2 linked regions of the Coturnix japonica genome follow. The protein of the gene in region 1 purifies or fractionates together with the protein of each later gene. This does not show direct contact. Links are inferred from orthologs where the notes say so. Each region holds a gene or a part of one and is shown on either strand. Other genes may lie near its edges.

Region 1 (3,824 bases):
TCTCAGTGTCCTTTGAAGCAGAAATGGAGTTTAGCATCATACCTGAGTGCGAGGCATATCTTGAAATGGAACATGTCCATTGGCTAATTCACATGCTGTTATTCCTACGCTGTAGATATCGGACTTCATATTATACCCAGACAAATCCTGTGGGAGAAATAGAACTTTACTGGACTACTGAAGCCATTGATGGGTGCCAACAGAAACACAAATACCAGTGTCAAGACACAATTCTAAAATTGTGTGATCTACACATCTAGGATTGAGGCAGTTAACAAATTGAAACAGGCTTTTTTCCATAAATGTGATGTTGCACTGAAGACAGAATCTGCTCTAGTTTTCAGGAAGACAATGAGGCAGAGACTGAGCTGTAAGCATCACCACAGCTTTAAATCCTATTCTCTTTAGGGGAAATGCAAATTCAGTTCATGGTTGTTTTTGTTTTTTTTTTTGTTGTTTTGTTTTTAAGCTGCAGTTCAACAGATTCTATTGCACTTGTACAAACAGGTATAACTCGAGTACTTCCTGTTAACTTGGAATAAGAATGAAGTGTATTTTACACTGACCTGTCTCAGTAGTTCAGGGCTCAGCCAAGGAAGTACAGATGTACTAAACTGGGGGAAGTCATACACCACCTTTGACTTTTGTCCATTGTTAACTAAACTGTAGAGGTTGTTTAAGCCAGAGAGAGAAACCAATCCATCCCCTGAAATCAGAATGTGGCTAGCTTTAATATTCCTGTAACAAAAAGTGGTAAATTTTAGTTAGACAAATTAGTCAAAGCACTATTAAAGTAGAAATATGAAAATCTTTTGTTAATGTATATTGAGGGGTTTACACGCAGTTCTGTTTAGCAGGCTGTTTTCATGGGTGGTCTTCACTTAGCATGAGCTGTCTATTTAATACACCCTGAGAGATGGTTAGCAAGAAAAACTGACTGCCAGACATCAAAGAAGGATTTTTCCATCCCTGCAAAGAGGGTAAAGTAATGAAGAATTTAACATCCTGCTATATTAGTCAAAAACAAACAAAACAAAACAAAAAAGAGCCCTGCTTCTGCACTGTGTCTGCATCTGCCATAAGGAATATATAGAAAAAGGAAAGGAGACAAGTGTTGAACCAAATATGGGTTTTGAAGTGAAACTTAATTCCTAATAATGTAATTTGATTCTTGCCTATGGCACTGACATTGTTTTACCTGTGAATGTAGCCATTCTGGTGCATGTAATTTAATCCTCTGATTGCACCAAACAGAATGTTTCCTATCAAAGCTTCACTCATTCCTTCAGGAAAGTAAGTCTTCAGCAGGTGTCGAGCAGAACCTGGGAGCAGGGGGAAAAAATATCCTAAGCCAAACAAGCTACCTTAAACTTGCTTTCTATGCCTCCTTCATTGTATATGTTTGCCAGAAGAGGTATTCTCACCTTTATATTGACCATGGTGCATCAGGAACACTTACATGGATGCAACTGAAGCATCCATCAATCACAAGGATTGCACTCATGTCATGCTTGCTAACTGAAAGCCTATGCTAAACCTGCACTGAAAGCGACAAGTTTTCTATTCTGTAACATCAAATGCATCTCTCTCTTATTACTCTGTACTTTGTGGGTATTAGGACTAAGTGAAATGTAATGCAGATCAAATGTCAATCTTTTCTGGGGAGGAAGATGATATACAGACTTATCTAAACAAGTTGTTTGTGGAAGTGTGTCTGTTGGGTTTTTTTTTCTTTTCCCTCCCACCACCTCCTTCTCTATGAGTCAGGAGATTCTTAAAGAAAAAAAAACTCTTGTCAACCGCATAGCCCAAATGTCATCAGTCCTTTTCCTTATTCCAAAATTGCAGTTACCAGTTCTTACCATAGGCCATGAATGGAGAAATGACCCAAAGCCAACTACCAGCTGTAAACACTGTCCAAAGCGTCATTATGTTGGGATGCTGGAAAAAGTGGGACAAAACCACCTCATTCTATGGAATTAAATGAAAATGGATGTATTAATCACAAAGCATCTGCCTTACTAAGAGCATTAATTGTGTCAGTAATCAGTAGAAAAAAAGTGTTTGGTGTATTTATACTTAATTGCATGTGATGAGCAGAGCTGCAATAGATATCCAAATAGCTGGTAAGTCATTGCATTTTTCTGAACTCTAGTTTGTTCTTAGTCATAAGTTATGCTGTTAAATGCAGAGCACAGAATGTGTTTCAGAGGAAGAGCTGTTAAGTTCCATGAGTATTTCTAAAACACTTGTCAACAGTTTCTTCAGAAAGCAATCTTTCAAATTTATATGTGCTTCTTCTATTCCTTTGATGAGAAAATTTGAATTCAATCACCCAGTAAAAGCATGAAGGCTACCCTACTTTACTAAACCCTTATGTGTTCAAAAGTGAAAATGCTGCTGCTTTACCTGTAAGGCTTTCAGATGCTCTTCTGAGCAGCTTTCTAGGTCTGTGATCCTTACGGCAACTTGTGTGCCTGTAGGGGTATGCCGTGCAAGGTAGATTGAAGTTAAGTTGTTGAATCTCCTTCCTGAAACCAAAAGTCAATACCTTAATATTGGAAAATGTAGTAAGTCACCATATAACTTTCTTTATAGTTAGAGAACTTTGCGGTTCTGAAATTGCAATGGAGAACAGCATGGTCTTTTCTTTAAGCACACCAACAACTTAAGTAGCTGGGGTGTAATATATCCACAAATTACTTAGAACTCTGTTCTGCTATTTTTAGAGCAACAAAGGACATTTAAACATTTATCAGCATCAGTAATGTATCTGTTCTAATGTTTGTGCTCAAGGGGCTGCTAATGTAAATAGGAGAGACATGAACCTGCTAGAAAGCGTCCAGAGGAGGGCCACAAAAATGATCCAAGAGATGGAACACCTCCTCTGCAAGGACAGGCCAAGAGAGCTGCAGTTCTGCCTGGAGAATAGAAGGCTCCAGGGAGACTCGATAGCAGCCTTTCAATATCTAAAGGAGGGCTACAGGAAGGAAAGAAGGGAACAGACTCTATAGCAGGTCTATTGTGACAGGAAAAGGGGAAATGGTTTCAAACTTAAAAGGGGAGATTTTGATTGGATGTAAGGAAGAAATGGGTTTGTTTGTTTGTTCATTTTATTTTTTAAAGCAGGGGCAATGAGGCAGTGGCACAGGTTGCCCAGAGGTGGTGGATGCTCTGTCCTTGGAGACATTTGAGGTCAGGCTGGATGGGGCTCTGAGCAACCTAATATAGGTATAGGTGTCCCTGATCATTGCAGTGAAGATGGACTGGGTGACCTTTAAATGTCCCTCACAAATCAAACAACTCTATGATTCAAGGCTTGTACAGTGGGATTCAGTGTAGCCATTGTTAAGACAATCAAATCAAGTAGCCAAATGACAGGTTATGATGTTACTTAACGTTGTATTTATTGTACGCATGCCACAGATTTTAGGCAAATTATGTCCAAATGCACAAACATCAAAAGAAAAGTTCAGATAACTGTTAATTTGTCTTATATTTTAAAGCATGCACTAACTGAAACAAGATGATCGGTATTTTTCTCAAGAATAGAGGATTAAGTTTTAGTCAGCTGATAATACATTTTCCAAACTTAATATTTGCTGCAGTTAGCAATAGCTACAGAGAGAATGCGTCTGCAAGAACAAGAAATATTTTTAAGGCACAGTTGTGTTACCTATTTCCACCTGCAGTTCATAGTGAGAGACATCAGAAGAGCAAAATAGCATTTCATTCCCTCCTTTAGATGGGGGAATCCAGGCTAGCTCTGAATCAGCCTAACAGTGGAGAAAAGCAGAGTTCTTAGTAAGAATTACTATGTGCAT
Region 2 (3,824 bases), on another chromosome or scaffold:
CCTCTGTCTGACATTTGTCATCACATCACATAGAATAATTCAGTTCCCAGCTCCATAGAGAGAAACTACCCCATTTAGTTACAAGGAATTGCAATACAATTGGATTTTTCTGTTTTCCCTAAGGTCCCACAAGAACTGTGTGGCTGTCCAGGAAAGGAGCCAAAGCCCATGTATCGCACTCCACAGCCTTGACCATAAAGGCCATACCACTTAAGATTGCTTAAAGACACTATTGTTCATGACCAAGTTGTTCATGATGCAAGCAGAACAGTTTCAAGTCCTATTGTAGCATGACAGTCCCCAAATAATAACTTTCTTCCCTGTTCTTTTCCTCTTGCCCCTCCACCCCACCCATAACTGCCTCTGATTTGTGTTCAATTGTAATATGGTTGTATTTTATTTTCCCCCCTCTACCCATGCAAATGTTTACAGCAAACATAATACATTCAGGTTGTTAAGTAAGCAAGGAGACCTGGGAAAGTTGAGATACAGTGTTGAAATATGACAGCCTTTAATTGCCAAAGAAAGGAAATCATGAAACGTCATCTGGATTCTGCTGACCTCTAGATTCTTATCAGCTTCATGTTTACTCAGCTCAGTTTTTAGAGAAGGAAACATTCATTATCTGCTGGTGATGAAGAATGATAACAGTTTGTACAAGCTTGCTCTCATTAAAGAGAGCTATTCATTTTATTCTAAGGGGACTTAAGAAGATTGCAAGTAGTTTCCTGCTTTAGACTTTCTGCTACTTTGTTACACAAGGATATTATCTTTTCCCCTTGAGAAACAAGTCATTCACATTGCTTTCCAGGCTGGGCCTTGTCTGCTTTTTAAGGATGGGGTCTGGCAGACCGCCCAGCTATTGTTTTTCTTAGAATTAATGTCAACACACCTGTGCCCCAGACCTGCACTAGCTTCCCATCTAATACAAAGTCATCAGATATTGGTGTTCATATCCCAGAACTCTGTGATTTGGAATTTACTGTATTTGAAATGATTTTTCTATTAGAGAGATAGAAACTTTATTTCCTGCTGGCTCTTAAACTTGAGGGTTGAGTTTAGCGTTTGGTACTTCCTTTGCCTCTGTAAAGCTTGAAATTAGTCAAAGATGAAGGAAATACCATCTTTTTTTGGTCAAAACTCTGCTCTTCTTGAAGACATCTAACAGAGAAGGGACCGTTTACTCAGACTCTTGAACAGTATCATGTATTTGAATGTGAACAGAATGGTTAAAAAAACCACAAACACAGGCAAAAACTTCATGTTTTTTAATCTTGTAATTAGAAACTGTGACTTTAAGAATCTTGCTGGGCCTGGAAGACCTGTTTAAAATGATATTCGTGCCTGGAAGATTTCTTTCCAAGTAGAGCAGTGCACAAAACCATCTACTTAGCAAAGCTATGGAGTTTTCAGCTATCACCCCATGTGTGCCCATAGGAGAGATGACATCCCTTGTAGAATTGTATTCTTTGTTCTTGCTGGTTTTGAAACGGAGAGGGGGGAAAAAAATAAAGCAAACAAAAACGCCTTTTGCATGAGGGAGCCTGAATCCTTGTGCTGGGAAGACAATGCCAGCACAGTTGTACTCTCACCTCTTGCAGTCGTGACCACTGGCACAAGGGCCGGTGCCTGTTTGCCCTTGTTAGCCATGAAGTCACTTAGCAGTGTGTGCTGCTTAACAATAACTAGGCTTGGAATTACCGTGTACCGCTATCAGTTCACTTAGGTGAATAATACAGAAATGCTGTTTTTGCTGCTGAATCCAAAGGAAATAGTGAGATGTAGAGCAAAATTGACAATGTTAGTGAATGAGAGTTGATGTCTGTATTATGTGGAGGTTGAGTAAAACAGCCTGGAACACTGCTCTACTCATTTCAGAACAAAGAGTGCTGGTGTTGCTTTGGGCTGGCTTGCAACGGAATTGTAATTGAGAAAACAAGCATTTACAAACAAACTCTTATATCCTGAAAACAACAAACCCTCAAATGGCCCGTGGTAATTCACAAACATGCCATTTGGAAAACTGCAGCCCTCCTACGTTTGTTACAAATGTTTGGGGTTTTTTCCTTACACAGTCTTCCTTACATTGATTAGAAAACTGAACTAGCTCTGACTAACGGTTGCTAATTAATTATACCTTGAATTTTACTTGATAACTTGTTAATGTGACACATGGAATTTATGATACCGGGTAGATAGGGATTGTCAAGAAAAATGCTTTGTGTTTGGTCTTTGTGTGTATGGCATCCAGGAATCCTTCCTGTGGAGCTGCTTAACAGCATTACTTGCAAGTCCAGCTGTAGCACAGGTTTGCCTGGGTATATTTTGGGTTACAGCTAACAGGACATAGCCTCGAAGTTATCTTTTTGGCAGTTTCAGATTGCAAGTTAAGTGCACAGATCTGGCTTTTAAATGATGTATGTGAATGATGGAGAAAGTGCTCATGTTTATCATCAGCTTTTTGTCCATACCAGTTTGGCATCTTTACCTGGTGCTAATGTTGTGTGTATAATTTGTGCTGAATTCCAGCATCTGGTTCTCATTCATGCTGCTGTGTCTGTTGAAAAATGTGAGACTTGTATTTTAGGTCAGTGGGTCTCTTTGTAGTTCTTAACTAATGGTTTTTCCTCCAAAAGTGTCAGTTTTAAATAGAATGTTAACACCGCAGGCAGAAGTGCCTTAACGAACCATGGATGGTGGCATTGTGCCTTCCCAGAGAACGGAGTGGGTAATGGAATGTTGAGGACATTGGTATGAATGCATGAGGTGATACTGTGTAATTACTATTTGGATAGAGGCCTTGAATACTGTGCTGAACTATTTGTGTTTCTGACAGGGCAAAAAGGATGTCGCCCAAATCTTCAACAACATCCTCCGAAGGCAAATTGGTACAAGAACTCCCACAGTTGAATACATCTGCACTCAACAGAATATATTGTTCATGCTATTAAAAGGGTATGTATGCTGTCAGGCTTGAATATACTTTTTAATGAAATCAGAAGTTTTTAGTGTCATGGAGAAGCACTGAGTTCTGAAATGTTTTTTTCTTCCCTTGTGGTGTGCTTGATTCTGTTGTTCTTGTCTAAGGGCTACTTCCCCTAAGGAAAGGAAAATCTGAGTAATAAACACCAGATATGTACTTCTGCATGATATATGGCTGAAAACTGAGAACTGATAGTAACTTAAATTATTCTTAGTGGGGTATTGCAAACATTCTCCTTTTGGTGTATTATATCATCCTATTGAAGTTATTTCCTTCCGAACTTACTCATTTCTCAAATATTAAGTGGTGGGTTTGTTTGGGGTTTTTTTTGTTTGTTTGTTTTATCTTTTAACCAGTGTCCCTTCCAGTTCCCCGTCCTATTCCCTGCTTTTTGCTTGCCTTACGCGTGTTATTTGTAGTGATTCATACTCCTGCGGTCACAGGACCAAACAAAGGATGACTCAGGGTACACAGTGAGTGCCAGGCTACTCTTTCTTCCTCTCTTCTTGTATTTTTTCTGGTGCTGGGTATTGGAGAGCAGCGCCACACTGAAGACATGTTTGCACACCACAAGTTTTGGATCTCAAATGTGAAAGCAGAAATGTATTTTCAGAGCTTTCTTGTTAAAATAAGATTTTCTTATGAATTGACAACATGCTCTCTCCATATAAAAAATAATTGCCCACATTTCTATTAGCATTAATAAGCAAAGTTTGTAAACTGGTATCCCAATGTGTTATTTTAGGATAGAATGTTCATCAATATTCAAATAACAAAACACAAAAACATGTTCTTGGAATGTTCTTTCAAGTGTTCATTTTATCTCCTGTGTTAAAGCTGC

Evidence for each region.
Region 2: the proteins of STRADB (region 1) and CAB39 purify together in Homo sapiens (affinity purification with mass spectrometry; 3 studies listed by BioGRID and IntAct, counting the BioPlex papers as one, with this or other methods). This does not show direct contact. The link is inferred for Coturnix japonica from reciprocal best matches to the Homo sapiens genes STRADB and CAB39.

Annotation. Positions count from the first base shown.
Region 1 is NC_029522.1:9,978,220-9,982,043, reverse strand, and holds part of STRADB (STE20-related kinase adapter protein beta), read right to left. Parts: intron 3,777-3,824; coding exon 3,677-3,776; intron 2,532-3,676; coding exon 2,410-2,531; intron 1,972-2,409; coding exon 1,863-1,971; intron 1,323-1,862; coding exon 1,199-1,322; intron 739-1,198; coding exon 567-738; intron 148-566; coding exon 43-147; intron 1-42. UniProt on the Homo sapiens protein: Pseudokinase which, in complex with CAB39/MO25 (CAB39/MO25alpha or CAB39L/MO25beta), binds to and activates STK11/LKB1.
Region 2 is NC_029524.1:4,189,811-4,193,634, reverse strand, and holds part of CAB39 (calcium-binding protein 39), read left to right. Parts: intron 1-2,836; coding exon 2,837-2,955; intron 2,956-3,824. UniProt on the Homo sapiens protein: Component of a complex that binds and activates STK11/LKB1. In the complex, required to stabilize the interaction between CAB39/MO25 (CAB39/MO25alpha or CAB39L/MO25beta) and STK11/LKB1.